3 linked regions of the Stegostoma tigrinum genome follow. The protein of the gene in region 3 interacts with the protein of the main gene of each other region in a pairwise test. Links are inferred from orthologs where the notes say so. Each region holds a gene or a part of one and is shown on either strand. Other genes may lie near its edges. The genes, in order: aplf, aptx and xrcc4.

Region 1 (7,118 bases), on a different chromosome or scaffold from region 3:
TGGTGGCTTAGTGGTTAGCACTGCAGCCTCACAGTGCCAGGGACCCGGGTTCAATTCCACCCTCAGGTGGCTGTCTGAGTGGAGTTTGCACATTCTCCCCGTGTCTATGAGAGTTTCCTCCGGGTGTTCCAGTTTTTCCCACAGTCCAAAGATGTACAGACTAGGTGGAATGGCCGTACTAAATTGCCCATAGTGCCCAGTGATGTTTAGATTAGGTGGGTTAAACATGAGAAATGCAGCAGTAGGGGAATGGATCTGGGTGGGATCCTGTTTGGAGGGGCAGTACGGACTTGTTGGGCCTTATTTGTCTAATAAAAACAAAGGCACAATTCATATTTGAGTGTTTTACAAATTCTGACTCCACCAATTTCAAATGCATCTCTTGGTACCTATGGATTCACCTTCACTGTCACTGGGTCAAAATACTAGAAATATCTCGCTGACAGTACTCTAGGTGTACCGATCCTAAAATGTACTGCAGCAGTTCAAAAAGGCACCTTCTCAAGGATAATTAAGAATGGACAATGAGTATTGGTCTAGCCAGTGATAGGGATACCACAATAGGGATTCTATGATGAAGACTGTAACCTGTTACCCCAGTAATCCAAACAGAATTCCATTTAAAGGACTAACTAAGCCTAACTCTAATCCTTTAGGGATGAGATTAAAAAAAACTGACTACAGGTATAAACTACTATCTGTATTTGCAGAAATTACACTGTTCAGGTAGAAACCTACTCACTGGTTTGATGCGTAACTTCTCATTGACAACTTCCAGGAGACCATGATTCCTGGACACTCGCTTATCGGAAACCTGAAAATGAAAAAATCCATTAAAAGAGTTATTTACTATTACAACAACATTGGATTTTCCTATTTGAATGCGCCATTCCCTTACTGAAAATAAATCAAGAATAGAGTGAACCAGAGCAGAAAATTTGTCAGACAGGTAGGGCGAGCAAGAAAATGCTATGAGAGGAGACAAATGATAAATTGGGAAATATATGTGGGTTTAGAGATTGGCAGTGGTAATGCCCCCATAATTTTTCTCCGTTGTGTGGTTTTATCCCTTTAAGATCCCTTATGGGGAATGTTGGTTGTATACGCCACATTCCTAATTGTTGCAGAGCCCCTGGGCAATTTAGTGGTTACACGGCAAGAGAAAGGAAGACCAATGACTGAACAGACACTCTCAAATTCAGCAACAATAAGCTTGCAGTTTCCTCATCTGTTATTAGAGATGAGGGTGCAGGCAGAGAGGTTCAGGGAGACAAATCATTGGAGAGAGATGGAGTGGAGATTTATCTTCACTTTCCAGGATTATCCTGGAGTAAGGAGACCCCATTCTGACAATGATTGATGTTGTATAATCAGGTTAGAACAAGAGATAGCTATGCCAATAAACATGCGTTGGACTACAGAAAGGTGGTAAAAACTCAAGTAAAACCAGAGGGAACAATTAAGATCAGGCTGTGATGGGTCTTCTACTGGACAAAATTATGAAACATGAAGTTGAGAACAACTCAGTGATTGCTGATGTGTGAAACGTTGGGATCTGGCAGCTGGGAGATATTTTTGTAAGTGTGTGCAACAAAGGAAGTGGGATTGAAAAGGAATAGTTATAATAGAAAAAATAGAGAAAGATCAGCAGGTCTGGCTTCACCTGTGGAGACAGAAACAGAGTTAATGCTGCAGTAGTGTATGACTCTACTTCCGAACAATAACCTCTTTTCTATTCACAGATGCTGATGAGTCTGCTGAATATTTCCAAGATTCATGGTTCAGTTTTCATTCTGATTAGTTATATTCTTACAATTGGCCACTCTTTAAGAGTAGAGAATGACAGCAAATTAGCCAGGAATTCCAAAATATTTCTACTGGAGACAAAGGCACTCAGAAGATGGGTTGAGACTAAGACTACTAATGCTACGGAGATGAAACTGTGCAGCATTTGTTCAGGACAGAAACTGAGATCAAAAGGCCAATGCTGAATCTATAGGAGGCCATGGTTGTGAACCTAGGTTGAGCCAGAGATCCAAAGCTGGCAGCAGAAGGCTTCAAGTTTGATCTCAAGGTCTTTAAGTTTATGAGAAGGGTTTTTAAGGGCAGAAGTGGAGGAGAGATTTTCAGAGTTTTGGTTTTCCCAAGAAATGAGTTACAAATGCAAAATCAAAAACAAAGTTGCTGGAAAAGCTCAGCAGGTCTGTGAAGGAAAAAACAGAGTTAACATTTCGGGTCTGGTGATCCTGCCTCAAAACTTTGTTTTTGTTCCTGATGTTTAACATCTCCAGTTCTTTTGGTTTTTAAAAATGCAAAGTGGTTATTTCCCAAGAGATACTCAGGAGAAACTTCCTCACTTGGAGATTGGAGAGGATGGGGACAGAGAAATATTGACACATTTAAAGGGAAAGCTGGATAGAAACACAAGGGAGAAAGGGTAAGGATACTCTGCTTGGGTTTGACGAGGAGGGTGAGTGGGAGCTCACGTGGAATGGGCATGAGCATGGGCCAGATGGGCTGAATGGCTTGTTTCTTCGGTAATCCGAGCGATCAGGTGAGATGCCATTTCCAGGGTTTTGTTTTGGGGTGGGGGATGTTAGGGTATGAAATCATTGTTAGAGCTGGTGGTCAGGTCAAGGGAACCCGTAAGGTTGGGTTTAAGAGTGGAGTAAGGGGATGGGGGGGGCGGGGGGTAAGGTCAGAGGTTGAGGAGGAAGAGGCATGGGACAGGTGTGAATGGTAGGGGTGAGAGGTAGGGCCTGAGGGACAGGGACAAGGAATGGGGCGGGGGTTGGTGGAGAAGGGATCTGGGGGGGTGGAGAAGGGACGGGGGCGGTCGTCTCTCACCCGGAGAAAAGGGCCGCGGCCTATGGCGGTCAGGCCTCCCGCGAGAGCGATGTTCCCGCTCCCGTCCTCGGGCTCCAGCTCCATCCTCCTCCCGTTCCTGGGAGGGAGCTCACATTCCTCCCCCTGGTTCCGACACAAGCTCGCCCTTCGCCGGCACCGGGAACGAGCTACACCGTAAGAACGCTCCGAACTACAACTCCCAGGCTCCTTCGCGGGGGCCTGCGCACTTGTGGAGGGCCGCCCACCCCGCGCGGCACGAATGCGGAAACGGTGCGCGAGCGAGTGACGTCGCAGAAAAACAAATATCAACGGCCGGAGATTTAAACTGAAAACAAACAAGATCCGAATAAAGTGAGAGTGAGACAGAGAGAGGGGGCAATGGGAACGGGAGAAGAGGAAGAGTGGGAATGGGGAGAGTGGGAAAGGGGAACAGGGAGAAGGGGGAGAGTGGGAATGGGGAGAGTGGGAAAGGGGAACAGGGAGAAGGGGGAGAGTGGGGATGGGGAGAGTGGGAAAGGGGAACAGGGAGAAGGGGGAGAGTGGGGATGGGGAGAGTGGGAAAGGGGAACAGGGGGAAGGGGGAGAGTGGGAAGGGGGAGAGTGGGAAAGGGGAACAGGGGGAAGGGGGAGAGTGGGGATGGGGAGAGTGGGAAAGGGGAACAGGGGGAAGGGGGAGAGTGGGGATGGGGAGAGTGGGAAAGGGGAACAGGGGGAAGGGGGAGAGTGGGGATGGGGAGAGTGGGAAAGGGGAACAGGGGGAGAGTGGGGAGGGGGAGAGTGGGGATGGGGAGAGTGGGAAAGGGGAACAGGGAGAAGGGGGAGAGGGGATGGGGAGAGTGGGAAAGGGGAACAGGGAGAAGGGGGAGAGTGGGAAAGGGGAACAGGGAGAAGGGGGAGAGTGGGAAAGGGGAACAGGGAGAGTGGGGATGGGGAGAGTGGGAAAGGGGAACAGGGAGAAGGGGGAGAGTGGGGATGGGGAGAGTGGGAAAGGGGAACAGGGAGAAGGGGGAGAGTGGGAAAGGGGAACAGGGAGAGTGGGAAAGGGGAACAGGGAGAAGGGGGAGAGTGGGGATGGGGAGAGTGGGAAAGGGGAACAGGGAGAAGGGGGAGAGTGGGAAAGGGGAACAGGGAGAGTGGGAAAGGGGAACAGGGAGAAGGGGGAGAGTGGGGATGGGGAGAGTGGGAAAGGGGAACAGGGAGAAGGGGGAGAGTGGGGATGGGGAGAGTGGGAAAGGGGAACAGGGAGAAGGGGGAGAGTGGGAGAGGGGAACAGGGGGAAGGGGGAGAGTGGGGATGGGGAGAGTGGGAGAGGGGAACAGGGGGAAGGGGGAGAGTGGGGATGGGGAGAGTGGGAGAGGGGAACAGGGGGAAGGGGGAGAGTGGGGATGGGGGGAGTGGGAGAGGGGAACAGGGGGAAGGGGGAGAGTGGGGATGGGGGGAGTGGGAGAGGGGAACAGGGGGAAGGGGGAGAGTGGGGATGGGGGGAGTGGGAGAGGGGAACAGGGGGAAGGGGGAGAGTGGGGATGGGGAGAGTGGGAGAGGGGAACAGGGGGAAGGGGGAGAGTGGGGATGGGGAGAGTGGGAGAGGGGAACAGGGGGAAGGGGGAGAGTGGGGATGGGGAGAGTGGGAGAGGGGAACAGGGGGAAGGGGGAGAGTGGGGATGGGGAGAGTGGGAGAGGGGAACAGGGGGAAGGGGGAGAGTGGGGATGGGGAGAGTGGGAGAGGGGAACAGGGGGAAGGGGGAGAGTGGGGATGGGGAGAGTGGGAGAGGGGAACAGGGGGAAGGGGGAGAGTGGGGATGGGGAGAGTGGGAAAGGGGAACAGGGAGAAGGGGGAGAGTGGGGATGGGGAGAGGGGAACAGGGAGAAGGGGGAGAGTGGGGATGGGGAGAGTGGGAGAGGGGAACAGGGGGAAGGGGGAGAGTGGGGATGGGGAGAGTGGGAGAGGGGAACAGGGGGAAGGGGGAGAGTGGGGATGGGGAGAGTGGGAGAGGGGAACGGGGGAAGGGGGAGAGTGGGAGAGGGGAACGGGGGAAGGGGGAGAGTGGGGATGGGGAGAGTGGGAGAGGGGAACAGGGGGAAGGGGGAGAGGGGGAGAGTGGGGATGGGGAGAGTGGGAGAGGGGAACAGGGGGAGAGTGGGGATGGGGAGAGTGGGAGAGGGGAACAGGACGGTGAAGGGGTATGGGGAGGAGATGGGTGGGTAGTGTGGGGTGGGCTCAGGGCGGAGGTGGCAGGTCATGGGGAGAGAGGGCAGGGGTAAAGTGAAGGGGAGCAAGGATGGGAGTAGGAGAGAGTGGGGGCAACTGATGTTGAAATGGGCAAGTAGTAGAAACCGAGAAGGCAGTACCTCCCAGAAGTCAGCAACTTCTCAAATTTCAAATCTAACATTGGCCTTGCTTTTTGTGCACCTTCTTTACAACCATAACTTTGTATTCCTTGCTCTGTTCAATCACCCTTTAATCTTTGTATGTTATGATCTGCCTGTACTGCATGCAAACAAAACTTTTCACTGTACTTAGGTACATGTGACAATAATAAATCAAATCAAATACATGTCAAATCAGGACAGTCATCATCTCCAGGTTATTAACCATGGAACATGATAAATGAGTTATTGGTTGTATGATGAACACCGAAAAGCATTGATAGAGGATGGGGTTTTAAAAAAGAATTGCCAGGTTAAACAACAAACATGTACAAAAAGGACAGGTTAAACTATTACAGACTAAAACATGAACTTTACAGATTCAAAGATAACACGAACAATACATGGATAAGCTGTGTGGACTGGTGTTTTACAAGAGATCTCTCAGTTTGAAGGTTAAGGTACAGACTCAGGTTATACAAATAATAGTGGTGGCATAACCTGGTGTAAATTGGTAATTTGCAATACAGAACCCAATGACATATTCCAGATTTACAGATAACAGGTGAGCAGATAAAACTCATATGCCAAACCCTTTCTGCTAGTAATGAAATCAGTAATTGCTCTAAAAAGTCAGCAGGTCTGGCAGCGTCTGGGGAAAAAACAGCAAAATAAACTTTTCAGGCCCAGTGACCCTTCTTCAGAACCTTCACTGGACCAGAAATGTTAACTAACCTTTATTTCTTCACAGATGCTGCCAGACCTGGTGAGTTTTTCCAGAAATTTTTGATTTTGCTCCTGATTTCCAATGACTGCAGTTCTTTGGATTTTCCTTTCTGCTAATACTCTGCTGTGCATCTTGAACATTAAAAAATCTAAAATAGGAATAAATCTGTAAACAATATTTTTCAGAGGCCTGCAGAGTAGTACGTGGCTTGATGAAAAGACACTGAGGAGCCAATAGACAACCAAAAGAAAGGAGACAAAAGAAAAGCAACAATGATGGTGATGGAAGAAATTCACAAAAAAGAAAAGATGAGTAACAAATAGATTGTCAAGAAGTTTGGTGACAAAGTCTTATGTCAGTAAGACAGAAAATCAACCAATAAGACTAGTTAAAATTTGATTTGGTTTGTTTTGAAAGATCTTTTGAGATTCTGGAACAAAAAACTATGCAAAGGTCTTGCAAAAGAAATAAGCAAATTGCTAATGGTGAAGACAAAACTGTTTTCTCCGCTGTGCAGAAAAAGCTACAAAATCGTTTTGATTTTGCCCAGTTTTTGCCTCAAGAGTTAACTCTGAAAATTTTCAGTGAACTGGACGTTCGAAGCTTGTCTAATGCTGCAATGACTTGCAAAGCGTGGAATGATCTGATCGAAACCAGTGACAGCCTTTGGTACAATCATTGCCTGACCATATTGGCTGTCTGCAAGCGGGAGCTGCAGTGGGATCGAGCACATGGACTTTCATGGAAGGTTTGTGCAATTGGCAATCATTTACATGAAAGTTTAGGCATTTTTATTGTCCAGCTGCCCCCCGGTTCCTTTTTACTCAGTGTTTCACTGACACTTTTGTTTCTCTTCTCTTTTTCACCAGTATTCTCCCTGCTGTAAGTGCAAACGTTATCAGAATGGGAACAGTTTAAGAAGAATGCTCATTCCATCCAGCAGGGAGCAGCGTGCACTTTTGATATAAATAATTATTAGCAAAGCACAGGATAGACAAATGTGGTAGTGCCAATGACTACATGAGATGAGGACGACTATGATAGATGTTAAGAGGATCTGAAAAGGCTGGTGGAGTGGGCACCATAGGGTAAACCAGGTAAACAGTGATGTAGTGATAATGTCTTTGGACTAGTACTACTGCTACTGCTCTGGAGATGTGGATTCAGTTGTGGACAG
Region 2 (7,749 bases), about 68 Mb from region 3:
TGCCTGACTCTTATCCCGCTCATTCCTTGACTGCTTTTTCAATCAAAAATCTATTATTCAGCCTGAAATATATTCAATGAAAAGCCTCCACGGCTCACTGGAGGAAGGAAATTCCATCGTAAATTGAACCTTTACTTTGTAGCTCTCGATTCCCTCATGAAAGAAAGTATCCTTTCAGCGTCTAGCTCATCAAGTCGCCAAAACATCTAATATGAATGTGGATTTCACCAGCTTCAAAATCTCCCTCCCCCCACTGCATCCCAGAACCAGCCCAGCTCGTCCCAGCCTCCCTAACCTGTTCTTCCTCTCACCTATCCCCTCCTCCCACCTCAAGCCACACCTCCATTTCCTACTTACTAACCTCATCCCACCCCCTTGACCTATCCCCTCCCTACCTCCCCACCCATACTCTTCTCTCCACCCATCTTCAGTCCACCTCCCTACTTATTTCAGAATCTTCTCCCCATCCCACTTTTCTGATGAAGGGTCTAGGCCCGAAACATCAGCTTTTGTGCTCCTAAGATGCTGCTTAGCCTGCTAAGTTCATCCAGCCCCACACTTAGTTATCTAATATGGAACGTTCTGCTTAATGTTTCTTGAACAAATTTGATTAAACTACTGACCCTACTCCAGTCCACAGATCCCTTGTATTCAACCCAGTTTCCCAAGGACATTATCTCCATGCCAATAGAGCCATTTTCTCCTCCAGTTTGGTCATTTCAGCTTGCAAATATCTCTAACCTACTGATTTCTAAGCAATATCCAATTTGTTTTGAAGCCGTTGGAAATTTCATACAAAAAAAGTTACCACTCACCTTGATGCCGTGAACATTTTTTATCTGTTATTTTGGTTTCAGGACTCCTTCCAATCATAACACAGACTAAGTGTGCCAGTTGTATTGGTTGGTGCCTCCCATCTTTACTAACCAACCAACAAACTCGCATTATTCTGCAAGACAGAAAATTAGTTACACTCAGAGATATCCCTTATCTTCTAACTGTCCAAGGTCTCTGTATGCCAAATCGTCTCTTGTTCATTATAACCTCCCAATGCTGTATACAATGCATTCAGCTCCAAAGGCCAAAGTTGTGAAATTCCTTCCATGAACCTCTTTATTTCTCTCCTTCTTTAAGGCATTCCCTAAAGTATGTGTCTGACAGAGCTGTTGGCCATTTGTCCTATTACATCCTTACAAGGATCTGTGTTGTCTTGTTTCACAATTGCTCATAAATCACCACAATGTTAAAAACTATAAAGATGTAAGTCTCCATTGTAATGTGTTCAATTATTAAAAACCTAAATCAATTTAGCACTTAAGGATTCATTTATTCTGTACAAATCCACAGCTCCAAAATCAAAGAAATACAAACTAACAGTTTTCTTTAATAAAAAATTGGCTACAATTTAACCAACCAGGACACTGACGTTCAAACCTAATCTAAATGAAGTGCTAAGCAAGCTAAAGCAATAGCACTGGGTAGGAAACAAATGTACTGTAATTTTATAATCATTCAAATTGAAAGCAAGAAGAACTTGCATCTTCTTGCACCTTTCATAATCCAAAAGCAGCTTAAACCTATTGCTTTAGATATGTTGCCACAGCTCTAATATAGGACACCGGACATCTGATTTGTTCATATCATGGTCTCATTCACTCCAGTGTCACAGTGAACAGATTATCTTATTGAGGGGGAGAATGAGGTCTCAAATTAAATATCATTGGAAAGAAATCCCTGATAACGTGACACTTCCTCAGGACTGCGTTAGAGTGTTGTCTCAAGGCTTCTCGTGAGAAGACTCAAACAATCGCCTCCGGAGACAAAAGTGAACGTCTTTCAGCTTACGGGTAACAGCCATTACTTTTGCAAAGCTATTAAAAATGTTTAAAGTGATGCGGCTTAAATTACAACGTGTAGAAGAGCTAACTAGAATGATGACGCAAGGCAGACCAGTCATTCCTGTGCTGGCTGTCTGAAAACACTAGTCCTACTCTCCTACGTGTTTCCTTTTCATGAGTGTACCCAATTTCCTTGAGGGCTATTAATGGACCTCTACCCACGCTCATTGTTGAAGCTAGTCCTACCTGACTGCAGCAGGTCTGACAGTCCCTGGAATCAGTGGGCCCAAAGGCTCCGCTCAGGAAAGCTGTTTAAAAAAAAAACAAAACCGCAGCCAGCTAACTCCCACACCAGGGCCTGGGTAACACTTTAAAGAGCAAACGTGTCACTTAGGTTTCCCACATCGCTCTACGATTTAACTATTTATTTTCAAAAAGCAATTGAAAGTGTTCCCCGACGTGCACTGCGACACCCCAGCTTTAGATCACGCATGTGCAACTTGCGCCGCGCATGCGCGCACCGTAGAGGAAAAGCCGCGTGGACGCCATCTTTGTAAGGCGGGAGCTCTTGTCACTGACCGTCTCGCGAGTGTAAAGGCGACCGGCTTAATGACATAGATAGCTGTATCGGAAGTGAAGTGTCGAAAATTCTTTGTCAAACCTTCTCGGTTCCTTCCCTCATTCCCTGACACAGGTTGAGTGTTCGTTGAAAAAACCAGACGATGTAGCCGTCGTGAGCCGGGGACTGATGGCGAGGAAGAGGATCTGATGAAGGGTCTAGGCCCATAACGTCAGCCTTCCTGCTCCTCCGATGCTGCTTGTCTGCTGTGTTCATCCAGCTCCACACCTTGTTGTATCAGAGAATCTCATTTGTTGTTCTGGTCGCAGTCCCTTTGGTATCATAAACTGCGCTGGCTCTTTGAAAGAGCTTTTCAGTTTATCCCAGATCCTCTGCTTATTTCCGGCAGAAACCTTGCAAATTCCTCCTTCTCAAATACTTACCTGATTCCCTTTTGAAATTCACTACATTTAATCTGCTTCCTCCTGTCTTTCAGGTAGCCCATCTAGGTCATAACTCACTGTTTTTAAGAAAATGTTACCTTATTACTCTTAGATGACACGGTCTGAAGCTGGATGAACATTTTCTGAAGAAGGGTCTCGACCTGAAACGTCAAACTTTCCAGCTCCTCTGGTGCTGCTTGACCTGCTGTGTGCATCCAGCTTCATAGCTGTTATGTTACCTCAGATTCTCCAGCATCAGCAGTTCCTACTATCTCTACCTTAGTACTCTTGTTTTTTCCCCCTCTCCACAAACTGATATGATATTGCCAACATTTTCTCTTTTTAATTACAATTATTTGTTGTTTGGACGATTTAAGAGAGAATTTTGACAAAGACAAACAGGAGGCTGGAAGAACACAGCCTGCCAGACAGCACCTGGAAGAAAGGAGCAGCCAACATTTTGGGTACTGATTGGATTCTAGCATATGCAGATACTTTTTGTCTCTCAACTGAGTAAGACCAAATAATTGGTTGTCATACAGTGGTTAGCACTGCTGCCTGTCAGTACGAGGGACCCAGGTTTGATTCCACCCTCGGACAACCTTCTATGTGAAGTTTGCACATTCTCCCTGTGTCTGTGTGGGTTTCCTCTGGGTGCTCCTGTTTCCTCCCAAAGTCCAAAGATGTGCAGGGTAGGTGGATTGGCAATGCAAAATTGCCAATAGTGTTCAAAGATGTGAAGATTAGGTGGATGGTGGGTCTGGGTTGTATGCTCTGAGGGTCGTTGTGGACTTGTTGGGCTGAAGGGCCTGTTTCCAAGCTGTAGGGATTCTATGAATTTATCTAATATTGATTGCTGTTTGAGTGTTGGCTATGTCTCAAAGTGAAAATGGAAGCTTTAGTAATTAGCTGAAGCATCCGATTAAGCAGTTGGTTCTTGGGTTTGATGTTGCACCGGAGGAGTTAAACTTTGAGATTTTTGCATGACTACTCCACTGGAATTTTTCACAGAATTGCAGTTTGGTGCGGCCTCAATTAGAAGGAATGTTACAGCACAGAAAGAACCCATTTGAATTGTGGTGTCTCTGAAGGAGCCAATCTCCTGCCAGTGGTATAAGTTTTTATATATTTTTCATTCTTCTGTGAGCTGTAGGTTTGTGTGGTGTTTAGTAAGCCAGGAGTTCATTTTTATGTTTGCTTCAATGATAGATTACTGTTTGCATTGATTAGGCTAAGTGTATTGTGATTAGAGATAGAAATGTAAGAGTAGGGAAGTCTTACTGCGACTGTACAAGGTCCTGGTGAGAAAACATCTGGAATACTTTGAGCAGTTTTAGAGATATAGAATCGGGCCCTTCGACCCATGATGTTGTGCCGAACATGACGCCAAATGAAACTAATCCCTCCTGCCTTCCATTGGTCCTTATCCTTCCATTCCTTGCGTATTCATGTGCTTATCTAAAAGTCCTTTAAATGCTCTGATTGTATCTGCCTCCACCACCACCCTTGGCAGTGTGTTCCTGACTCCTACCACTCTCTGCAAAAAAAACACTTGCCTCTCACATTTCATTTGAACTTGCCCACCCCCGCCTTCACCTTTAATGCATGCTCCATTGTATTTGTTATTTCAACTCAGGAAAAGAGATTCTGACCATCAACCTTTTCTGTGCATCTTTATAATTTATAGACTTCTATCAAGTATCCCCTCAGCCTGCGCCACTCAAGAGAAGACAATCCAGGTTTTCCTAGCCTTTCCTTAAGGGTTATGAGGAAAGTGGATTTAGGGAATGTGTCGCATCAGCCATGATGCTGTTGAATGGCAGTGTAGGCTTGAGGAAACTGAATGGCCTACTCCTGTTTGTTCTGGTAACATTTTGTATGAACATAACATTTATTTTGACAAAGAGTAATAAATTAGAGCAAATCAGTGTTATTGACTAGATATTTAGAGTTTTCTCTTTGGGCAGTACCTTCCAAAATAATAGTCACTGACAAGACAATGAAAGCTTATGCATGGGAACACCATCATCTGCTAGTTTTCCTCCAAACCACGCACCATCCTGACTTGTAACTATTTTGCCATCCTTCACTGTTGCTGTGTCAAAATCCCAAATAACAGTGTAACTGTCTTCGCCACATGGACTGCAGTGGTTCAAGATGGTAATTCACCATAACCTTCTCAAGAGCAGTTAGGGACGTGTAATAAATGCCAGCTTAGGCAGTGACGGCTGCATCCCACTACAAGTTTGAGTTTGTCTGTGGAATGTATGCTTTACAATAACTGATTTGAAAATGACAATTCAAAATGACTCATTTGTTTACATATTTTTGATGTAGTGCTAAACTGATTATGTTTGTGCTGCCAAAAGTGTTACCAAAGAATAATTTAAACTCCAAGTTATCTGTATGCCCTAGACTTTGTTAATTGTAGTTCGAAATGTAGCTGTGTATTGTGGCCAATATCTGTTGCTGTAACTGTGAATGATGTATCCATGGTTGACTATTGTAAATGAATTAAAGATTGATTGTATTATGAATTGTACAAGTCAATGCCTTTACTAAATATGGTCGGGGAAATCTTGGATACCAGAACTGAAAAGGGATAAAAGTAGCTCTCTTTTGAGACTATAAAAGAAAATGATGTAACAAGCTATTCACACCAACTCATGTGCTAGCATTTACATTTCCCGCTATACTTTTCTTATTTTTCTTTAGCGTATGTTCTTTTTTTCCCTTATACACATATCAAGCTTTCCCCTTAACTGCATCCATGTTTTTTTCTGCCTCACCTACTCAAAATCACAGAATTGTTGTAACAAAGGAGTCCGTTCAACTGATTGTGTCTAAAGCGGAGCTGCAGCACTTTGAAGTGAGTTTCACATTCCCATCACTCTGGAAGTCACAGGAAATCTACAGTACAGAAAAAGCCCCTTCTGTATCCATGCCAGTCAAAAACAAACACCTAACTCTGTGTAAAGAAGTTTCTTCTGAAGTCTCTATTGGAGTTTTCTGTTATATTTGTGTTGGGCAGCTATGGACACCTCTCCCTTCCTCCCATACCCCACATGCCTTGAAAGCTCTATATGTACCTTATCAGAGTCATACAGTGTGGAAACAGGCTGTCCGGCCCACCATGTCTATATTGATCAACAAATACCTAACTAAACTTGCACTTGGTCCCATATCCTAGTATGCCCTGGTATTTTAAATGCTTCTTGAATATTCAGGCAATTGATAGGAATTGAGGAACCTAAAGACCAAGTATCAACATTGGCTATTTTAAGTTCAGATATTGCATTGGTGGAATGTTGAGTAATGTGCCTTCTAACTTGATCAAATATATCAGATCTGTTCTCATTCCTGAAGCACTTTAAAAGACAACCTGTTGTAGGTTTATCTCAGTTACAACATGGCTGTCATTAGTAATGTCAGTATTTATTGCCCATTCTAATAAACCTTGAGTAGTTGTTGCTCAACTGTCTTCATGGCTGCCTAAATCCATTTTAGAGGGAACTTAAGAGCCAACCACATTGATATAGGTCTGGCGTCAATATAGGATGAGTTGGCAAAAATGGCCACCTTCCTTTCTGAAAGGACATTAATGAATCAAGTGTATTTTGATAACATCAGTAGTTACATGATCACTACCTTTATTCTTAATTTATTAAGTAGCAGAATTTAGTCCACGATTTGCTGTGTTGAGTTTTGAACTCTCAATTTTCGATTTCTTGAAGAAACTGTCTTTTCTTGGTTCTTGTTATCTGTTGACAGAGTTTAAATACCAGGCTGGAAAACACAACAGCACTTAATCGGATGCTGCACTGATGATGTTGCCCAGCAGGGTACTGAAAAGTCTGTGGAACAACAAACCAGCTCAGCAAACCAACCAACCATAACATCCATCACCCGAGCTACAGATCTACTCAAAAACATTAGAATTCTCAATTTCTATCATTTAGGAAGACAGGGACAGCAGGCTTATCAAACATCAGCACTTACAATTTTCACTAACTTAACCTTGAAATGTATTGTTGTTCCTTGATATTACTGGCTCAGATCCTTAAAAGTCACTTCAGATGGTCTGCAGTACATCCAGAAGGCAGGTCACTGCTACCTTCACAAGTAATTACAGATAGGCATCAACGCTGGCCTTGCCGGGGAAGTCCACATCCTATGATTTAATAAAAGTGCAATTTTTCTTTGCTATATCAGTCCTTTTTGATGCGGTAATGTCATTTTATTTATAATAGACAACATTGTCATATTCACTCATGTTTTTTTTATAAAACAAGTGTGTCTACAGAGCATTCCAAGCTTTAATTTTAATTCCAAGTTTTGTTTCATGCAATTCTATTAGTTTTAAAACAGTGACGGAAAAGGATAGACCAGACCTAAAAGTTAACGCTCTAAATGGGAGGAAGACCAATTTTTATGGTATTAGGCAATAACATTCAAAAGTTGGTTGGAAGTAGATGTTCACAACTAAAGGAATAGCTAGAAAATGGAAGCATTCAAAAATGGCATAATGAGAGTCCAGAGACAGTTTGTTCCTGTTAGGGTGAAAGACAAGGCTGGTCGTGTAGGGAATGCTGGATGACGAGAGAAGTTGAGGTTTTGGTCAAGAAAAAGAAGGAAGTGTATGTCAGGTACAGACAGCAGAGATAGAGTGAATCCTTAGAAGAGTCAAAAGGCAGCTGTAGGCGTATACTTAAGAGGGAAATCAGGAGGGCAAAAAGGGGGCGTGAGATAGCTTTGGCAAATAGGTTTAAGGAGAATTCAAAGGGATTCTACAAATACATTAACGATAAAAGGATAACTAAGGAGAGAATAGGGCCTCTTAAAGATCAGCAAGGCCACCCATGTGCAGAACCACAGGAAATAGGAGATACTAAACAAGTATTTTTGTTCA
Region 3 (7,896 bases):
AAGTCTGAAAAAACTCAGCAGGTGACACGCACATCTTAAACCTTTCTCAAACATGCAATGTTTCACTGTTTTATTTCATACTTCATCTGAATCTACTCTTCCTTTCAGGTCTTAAGGAAGGCAAGCTGTAATCACTCAGAAACTTCTTTCTGCCAGCATCTGGCCCATAATCCCGGCACCAAACATCAAACCATTCACAGGACTGTCACTGAATTAATTACCTCTGAAGAGCATTTCAACTTGTGAAATGTCCCTTCCTACATATGTCTTCCTATTTTGACCCCATTTTTTCTCAGATTGTCCAGTTGCTTCCCAAATACATCTGTGACTCTTGTGACAGGTTTAATTATTTCAAAAATTTCTACTTTCCTGATACGTCTTCCTTTTGTCTTAGTTACGAATACACAAGTACGTTACAAAAGTTGGGTGTTTGATATACAGTATAAAAAGACACTCATAATTAGTGTAGTTTTAATGATATAGTGGTTTGTTTTAAAGAAAGAGGGAAGTTACAATGATTCATAAACAGCAAGGAATTGTTATACAAATACCCAGGGTGACACATTGCTCAGCGCCTAATTGTAAGGAGCAATATACACAGCTGTATGAAATGCTTGATGAATTGCCATCATTCTGAGTCAACAATTGTGATTATTTCAAACTTAGAGGAACTAGAAGACACAGCAGCTTCTAAGGTTATAGCCCTTCCCTCCATCATAAGGTCATAAGTGGGGATGTTCACCAATAACTGCACCATGTTCAGCATCATTTGTGACTCCTCAGATACTGAAGCAGTCCATGTTCGAATGCAACAAGATATGGACAATACCCAGGCTTGGGCTGACAAGTGATAAGTAAAATTCATATCACACAAATACCACACAACAACCATCTCAAATAAAAGACAATCTAACCACTACCTTTTGACATGCAAAGGTGTTACCATCACTGAATTCCCCACTATCAATGTCCTGGGGTTTATCATTGACCAGAAAGTCAACTGAACTCATCACATAATCACAGTAGCTATAAGAGCGGATTAGAGGCTAGGAAACCCCAGAGACTAACTCACCACCTGGCTCCCCAAAGCCTATCCACATGAAAACAAAAGATATTCTATTGCATACAAGGCACAAGGACTGTGTTGGAATATTCCCTACTTGCCAGGACAGATGAAATTCCATCAGCAATCAGGAACCTTGACACCATCCAGGAGAAAGTAACCTGCTCAACTGGTACCACATTCCGTACCACCAATGCTCAGTCGCAGCAGTGTGTACTACCTGCAAGATGTTCTGCCCAAATTCACCAAAGATCCTGAGACAGCACCTTCTAAGCCCCCAACCACTTCCATCAGAAGGACAAGACCAGCAGATACATGGGAACTAGAAGTTCCCCTTCTAGCCACTCCCCATCCTGACTTGGAAATATATTGCTGTACCTGAGTCAAAATCCTGGAACTTCCCCTCTAACATCATTGAGGGTCAGCTACACCATGTGAATTGTTGAAGTTCAAGAAATCAGCTCACCTCTACCTTTTCAAGGGCAGCTAGGGATGAGCAATAAAAACTGGCCCAGTGAGCAACACCCACATCTCATTAGCGAATTAAAAACTAAATATTAATTGAGAAAACAGTACAAAACCTTGATCCCGATATTTTATTAAGTTTGAAAATTATCAATGAAAAGCATGCCCTTACTAACTGTAGCGACAATTTCACCAGAAAACACTGAATGTACAATTCCTCAAATGTGTGCCATCAGAATGTTAGTGGATATTTTAAAAGTTTAAAAAAAAGTCACAAATTAGAAGTCAAAGATGCGGTTACAGGTACCCTAATGGGTCCAAGTAATGTCTGGACCTTTATGGGATTTGTGGAGGATTTCCAATTTGGGCCCCTCCCACAACATCTTCTCCAGTAAATGGATACATCATTGCCACTGCTTCCTTCTCTCATCCAGAATTGGAAAAATTAACCCATTTTGCTTCCAAATTCCGACCTGCTCTCAATTAGTCTTCTCTGATGCTTCCATTCCTTTCCTTTAGTTCTGTTCCACTCAGTCCTTTGTCAACAGAGTAAAAAACTGTAATCTTACAGGCCCTTCTGTTCAGAAGTCATAACTGGGCTGAAAACATTAACTCTTTCTTACACCAGCACTATTGACAGACCTGCTGAGTTCTTTCAGCACTTTCTATTCTTATTTCAGATCTGCAGAATCTACAGTTTGATCAGATTTTTCTATTTGGTGCTAAGGGTAAAATTCTGTGCTGCCTGAAACATTAAATAAAGCAAGTGCTCAATTCTCCGGCATTTTCTGTTTTGATTCTGTATTTGATGACGATATTACATTACTCATTTTGTTGAACGAAAATAGAATTGATTTCTGCAATCTCTGCCATTTTTCCATTAAAAAATGACATTGACTGATTGAATGTAGGGCCATAGATCAGCAGGATGTAGTAATGCTTGAAAACTACAGGATGATTTCAGACTTTTAAGTGGCTTGCCAAACTCCTCCAAGGTTTAGATGACAAGGCCCACGAGTTTCCACTCCCTCAAATATGCATAAGAGGCCAGCATTTACAAGATGGGCAGAATGGCATCTGCCCGTTCTATATCTATTAAAGATACAGGGCTTCGCGGACTCCAGAGGGAAATCTCGCGGGCTTCAAAACGGCAAACATTTTGCTGTCATTTTCCATACGTTAAAAGGGCGTTTATAAACTCCCGCTTTCATAAAATGTGAAGCTAGACTATTCAATCGGATAGAGTTCATGCCAACTAACTGGTAAGGCAACCTAAAGTTATGACTTGTACCTTTAATGACCACACTGAGCAGAATCGGCCTAAGTGTACTGAATTTAAACGCTGAGCCTCCTTTGCCGCCGACGCTCTGCTGTCATGTATCTGGTCAATTTCACAGCGACATCAGGGCAAACGCAGAACGTTTCCGCAACTCCCGCCAATCGCAGCGCCTCACGGCCAGACACCCGCTTCCGATGACGTTTCACACAAACTTGGCGCTTGAGCCAGGGCCAGAGCCCCGTCTCACGTGAAGACGCCGTGTGTAACGTCATCGCAAATTGCCGGCGAGGGCGATGTGGAAGAGCGTTGTAGCCGCAATCGGTTCGAACGGGGAGTGCGTCACTTCCAGACCTGCCGGAAGTGTGATGTGGCTATGAAGTGTGCAGGATGGTGAGTGGGGTTTGTCTTTTTTTTGTTGTAGTGTGCAGGAAGTTATTAAGCAGCTTAGATTCTGATGTATGTGTGTGGGTTAGTGCGTTTATTTTTTACAGCCTCGTATCTTTTTGTTACTTGTCCGCCGTGTGATGGGAGGTCGGGAATAGAAGTGTATGGGATCAAGGCCTTCGGGTAACAGACTGTTTTCTGAGATAACAAGGTGTAGATCTGGATGAACACAGCAGGCCAAGCAGCATCACAGGAGCCGGAAGACTGACATTTCGGGGTCTGGACCCTTCTTCAGGCCCGAAACTTTAGCTTTCCTGCTCCTCTGATGCTGCTTGGCCTGCTGTGTTCATCCAGATCTACACCTTGTTATCTCAGATTCTCCAGCATCGGCAGTTCCCTCTGTCTTTGATCTGTTTTCTTCCGATTATACTGGCTTTTGTCGAAACATCTAATCCATACAAACAATAGAAGTACGTAAACGTGTAGACTGGCCAAACTTAGATGCACGTATTTGGTTCCAGAGTAATCAATTACTACGTGAAGTAATAGTTCAACAGCAAATCGCTTATTTTAAACAGTCTAAATTCCACATTGGAATCGCTTTCACTTTAAGTATTGACACAGTGCCCTTGCAGCCCGGCAGTAATGAAATGATGAATATATATGATTGTCCTCCATGGAAGATGATTGACTTGTGAGTTGTTTTCCCAAAATGGTTACAACGCAAGAGGCCATTTAGTCGGTTGTGGTTATGCCAGCTCTACCAAAGCAAATTATCTTATTCTTACTCTCTGTCCTTTCCCTGTAGCTTTGTACGTTTTCTTTCCCCCCCTTTTAAATTACGTTTTGAAAGCCAGCTTGTATCTGCACCTTCTGTACTCCGGTGATGTGTTCCTGACCACCTATGTAGGAAAGCCTTTTCCTCATGTTGTAGCCAGCTATTTATACGTTCAGTGATCTAAATGTTGCTGGATAGACCTGTGTTTATTGCCCATCCTTAACTGGCCTTGAGAAGATAGTGATGTTTTCTTGCATTGTAGCAGTCGTCAACATGCAGGAGCACTGATTGTACTATTAGAATTTTGCCCATGCAACATTGAAGGAGAAGCAATGTAGTTCCAAATTGGGAGTGGCTTCTGTTCAAGGATGGAACTTGAAGGGGACAGGAAGATGTGAATAGTGTTTCCTGAGCAAACTAATTAGACAAGATAAAGATGTATGAGTAGTGGGTCATTCAGCCCAATGAGATCATGTCTGGTCTGATCTGAATCCTCAGTTCCACATCACTGCCTTTTACTCTGACCCCTGACTCCCTTACTGATGATATGTCCTCCTGAGCCTGAAGTATACTTTATCCTAAAGGGCTGTTGAGGCTAAGTTTTAAAAACTTGAATAAAAACAAAATATGAAACAAACACCTGGAGAAATGCAGCAGATCGGACAGATCTTGAGAAAGAAGTAGAGTTAAAGTTTCAAATCTAGTGTGATTCTCCTTCAGAACCCTGACTCTTCTGAAGAAGAGTCATAGAAACAGAATTAACATTTCAAGTCCACTATCTCCACAGATGCTATTGGACCTACTGAGTTTCTCCAACTTTGTTCTCAGAGTCAATACTTTAGGATAGAAGGGCCCTCCCCGTCTCTGTTAAATGGATAATCCCTTAGACTAGGTCTAATCTCTCCACATCTACAGTCAGGCTGCCAGGTGTTCTTGTATGTGTCAGGCCCCAGGTAATCTTCTCATAATCACTGATTTTTTTCATTCACGAGATGAGGACATCGCTGGCTAGGCAGTATTTATTGTCCATCCCTAATTGTTCAGAAGGTAGTTAAGAGTCAACCACGTGACTATGAGTCTACAGTCACATGTAGGGCAGACCAGGTATGGGTGACAATTTCCTTCCCTAAAGAACTTCAGTGAACCACGTGGGTTTTTCTGACAATTGACAATGGATCCATGGTTATCATTAGATCGTTAGTTCCAGATATTTATGAAATTCAAATTCCACCATCTGCCATGGTGGGATTTGTACCCCAGTGCCCAGAACATTTGGATTAACAGTCATGTAGAAGAAGTCCATACAACCGTCGCACCTGCACCAGCTCTTCAAACAAGCATTGTCACCTTCTGCCAGTCTCCTGCTTTTTGCCTTATAACCTTGCACACTATTTCTATCCAAATTATCAGCCAATGCCCTCTCATGATTGAACCTACCTCCACCATAATCCAAATAGTTTATCTAAATGGAGTAAAACTGCAGAAAGCTGCCGCACTAAGACACTTGGCGATACTTATACACAAAACACTGAAAGCTAGCATACAAGTGGAATGGAATGTGAGTCCTTATTTCAAGGGGTAACAAAATGTGGAGCTGGATGAACACAGCAGGTCAAGCAGCATCTTAGGAGCACAAAAGCCGACGTCTTAGGCCTAGACCCTTCTTCAGAACGGGGATGGGGAGAGGGTTCTGAAATAAATAGGGAGAGAGGACCGAAGGTGGATAGAGGAGAAGAAAGGTGGAGAGGAGAAAGACAAGTTAAAGGCGGAGTGATGGAGCCTGTAGAGGTGAGTATAGGTGGGGAGGTAGGAGGGGATAGGTCAGTCTGGGGAGGGTGGACAGGTCAAGAGGGCGGGATGAGGTTAGGAGGTAGGGAATGGCAGTGTGGCTTGAGATGGGAGGAGGGCATAGGTGAGGGGAAGAACAAGTTAGGAAGGCGGGGACGAGCTGGGCTAGTTTTGGGATGCAGTGGGGGGAGGGGAGATTTTGAAGTTTGTGAAATCCACATTGATACCATTGGGTTGCAGGGTTCCAAAGCAGAATATGAGTTGCTGTTCCTGCAACCTTCGGGTGGCATCATTGTGGCACTGCAGGAGGCCCAGAATGGACATGTCGTCTAAGGAATGGGAGGGGGAGTTGAAATGGTTTGCGATTGGGAGGGGCAGTTGTTTGCGGCGAACCGAGTGTAGGTGTTCTGCAAAGCAGTCCCCAAGTGTCTGCTTGGTTTCCCCAATGTAGAGGAAGCCACAACGGGTACAGCGGATGCTATATACCACATTGGCAGATGTGCAAGTGAACATCTGCTTGATGTGGAAAGTCATCTTGGGGCCTGGGTTGGGGGTGAGGGAGGAGGAGTAGGCGCAAGTGTAGCACTTCCTGCGATGGCAGGGGAAAGTGCTGGGTGCAGTGGAGTTGGATGAGTGTGTGGAGCAGACAAGGGAGTTCCAGAGAGAGTGGTCTTTCTGGGAGGCAGACAAGGGTGGGCATGGAAAAATCTCTTTGAGATCAGATTGTAGATGGCGTAAGTGTTGCAGGATGATGTGTTGTATCCTGAGGTTGGTGGGGTGGTATGTGAGGACGAGGTGGATTCTCTTTTAGCAGTTATTGCGGGGATGGGGTGTGAGGGTTGGGGCGGTTATTTCAAGGGGGTTGGAGTATGGAGTAGGGACACCTTTCTACGACTGTGCAAGGTGCTGTTGATACACATCCAAAGTACTGAGAGTTGTTCCATCCCTTTATTTATGGAAATATATTATTTCATTGGAGGCAGTTCGGAGAAGATTCACTGAAATGATCTCTTGGTGTGGAGGGGTTGACTTATGAACAAGGGCTAAATAGTTTGAGTTGATACTCATTGGAATTTAGAAGAATGAGAGATCATTTCATTGAAACATTCAGAATTCTTAACGGGCTTATGGTAAAGGATGAGAGAAAGTTTCTCCCTCTTGGAAGAATCTAGGACATACTTGTAGAAATAAGGAGTGCAGAGGGATTTCTCCTGAGGATTGAGTGTCTCAACTGCTTGCCACAGAGCTGTGGGAGCAGAGTCCTTGTGCATGTGTAAAGTTGAGAGATTGTTGATCAATAGGGAAATCAAGTGTTGTGGGGAAATGCCAGGAAAGTGGATGTGAGGTGTACTGGATCGACCATGTTCCTGTTGAATGGTGGAGCAAGCTCCTGTTCCTATTTCTTGTGGTCTTCATGCATTCCATATCCTAACTATTCACTGCATGAAAGTTTTTTTTTCTCTCTCACCTCATCCTGCCTCTTCTGCAGACCACTTTTTAGCCTATGCTGTCTAATTTTTAAAAATCTTTTTTATAAGTGGGAACAGATTCTCACTATCCAGCGATCCATTTTGAAAACCTGTATCAAATCTCCTCTCTGCCACCTTTTGTCTGAAAATAACAGTCGCAACTTCTTCAATCTTTCTCCCTAACTGACATTTCTAATTTCTGGAACAGTTCTTTAAATCTCTTCTGCATTTTCACATCTGTAAATGTGGTACTTTCACTGTAAGAATGCTGCAGCTGAGGTCTAACAAGTGCCTTATACAAGTTCAACATCGTCATCTCTTGTATTCTATGCCTTTCTTATTAAATCTGAGTATACTGTGCTTTATTAACTGTTCTCTGCACTTACCCTGCCACCTCAATGTTTATTCTGTGTTGGAAGCCATCACTGAGTGATCTTCGTGCCCTTGAAGACCCCCCACCCCCACCCAACTGATCTAGTGCCTTTGAAGTACCCATATCCCTGAGTGATTTTTGTGTTACTGAAACCATGACCTTGGAGACAACTGTGTCTATAGGTCTGTCTGTTTGTGTTAAAATACTAGGTCAACAGCGATCTTAATATTCCATGTGTTCTTTTCTTGAAGAAAAGTCTGGTGGCTAAAGAAAGCCTATTTAATGAATCTAGAGAAA

Evidence for each region.
Region 1: the proteins of xrcc4 (region 3) and aplf interact in binary tests that used the Homo sapiens proteins (3 or more experiments, as listed by UniProt). The link is inferred for Stegostoma tigrinum from reciprocal best matches to the Homo sapiens genes XRCC4 and APLF.
Region 2: the proteins of xrcc4 (region 3) and aptx interact in binary tests that used the Homo sapiens proteins (3 or more experiments, as listed by UniProt). The link is inferred for Stegostoma tigrinum from reciprocal best matches to the Homo sapiens genes XRCC4 and APTX.

Annotation. Positions count from the first base shown.
Region 1 is NC_081362.1:4,504,443-4,511,560, reverse strand, and holds the start of aplf (aprataxin and PNK-like factor), read right to left. Parts: upstream 3,091-7,118; 5' UTR 2,932-3,090; coding exon 2,848-2,931; intron 2,555-2,847; exon of another isoform or gene 2,463-2,554; intron 815-2,462; coding exon 743-814; intron 1-742. Other genes in the region: F-box only protein 48, read left to right, coding at 6,387-6,689. UniProt on the Homo sapiens protein: Histone chaperone involved in single-strand and double-strand DNA break repair.
Region 2 is NC_081356.1:29,977,104-29,984,852, forward strand, and holds the start of aptx (aprataxin), read right to left. Parts: upstream 3,030-7,749; 5' UTR 2,939-3,029; intron 2,680-2,938; exon of another isoform or gene 2,500-2,679; intron 2,338-2,499; exon of another isoform or gene 2,085-2,337; intron 950-2,084; 5' UTR 946-949; coding exon 816-945; intron 1-815. UniProt on the Homo sapiens protein: DNA-binding protein involved in single-strand DNA break repair, double-strand DNA break repair and base excision repair.
Region 3 is NC_081356.1:98,392,392-98,400,287, forward strand, and holds the start of xrcc4 (DNA repair protein XRCC4), read right to left. Parts: upstream 3,014-7,896; 5' UTR 2,820-3,013; intron 1-2,819. Other genes in the region: tmem167a (protein kish-A), read left to right, coding at 3,195-3,197.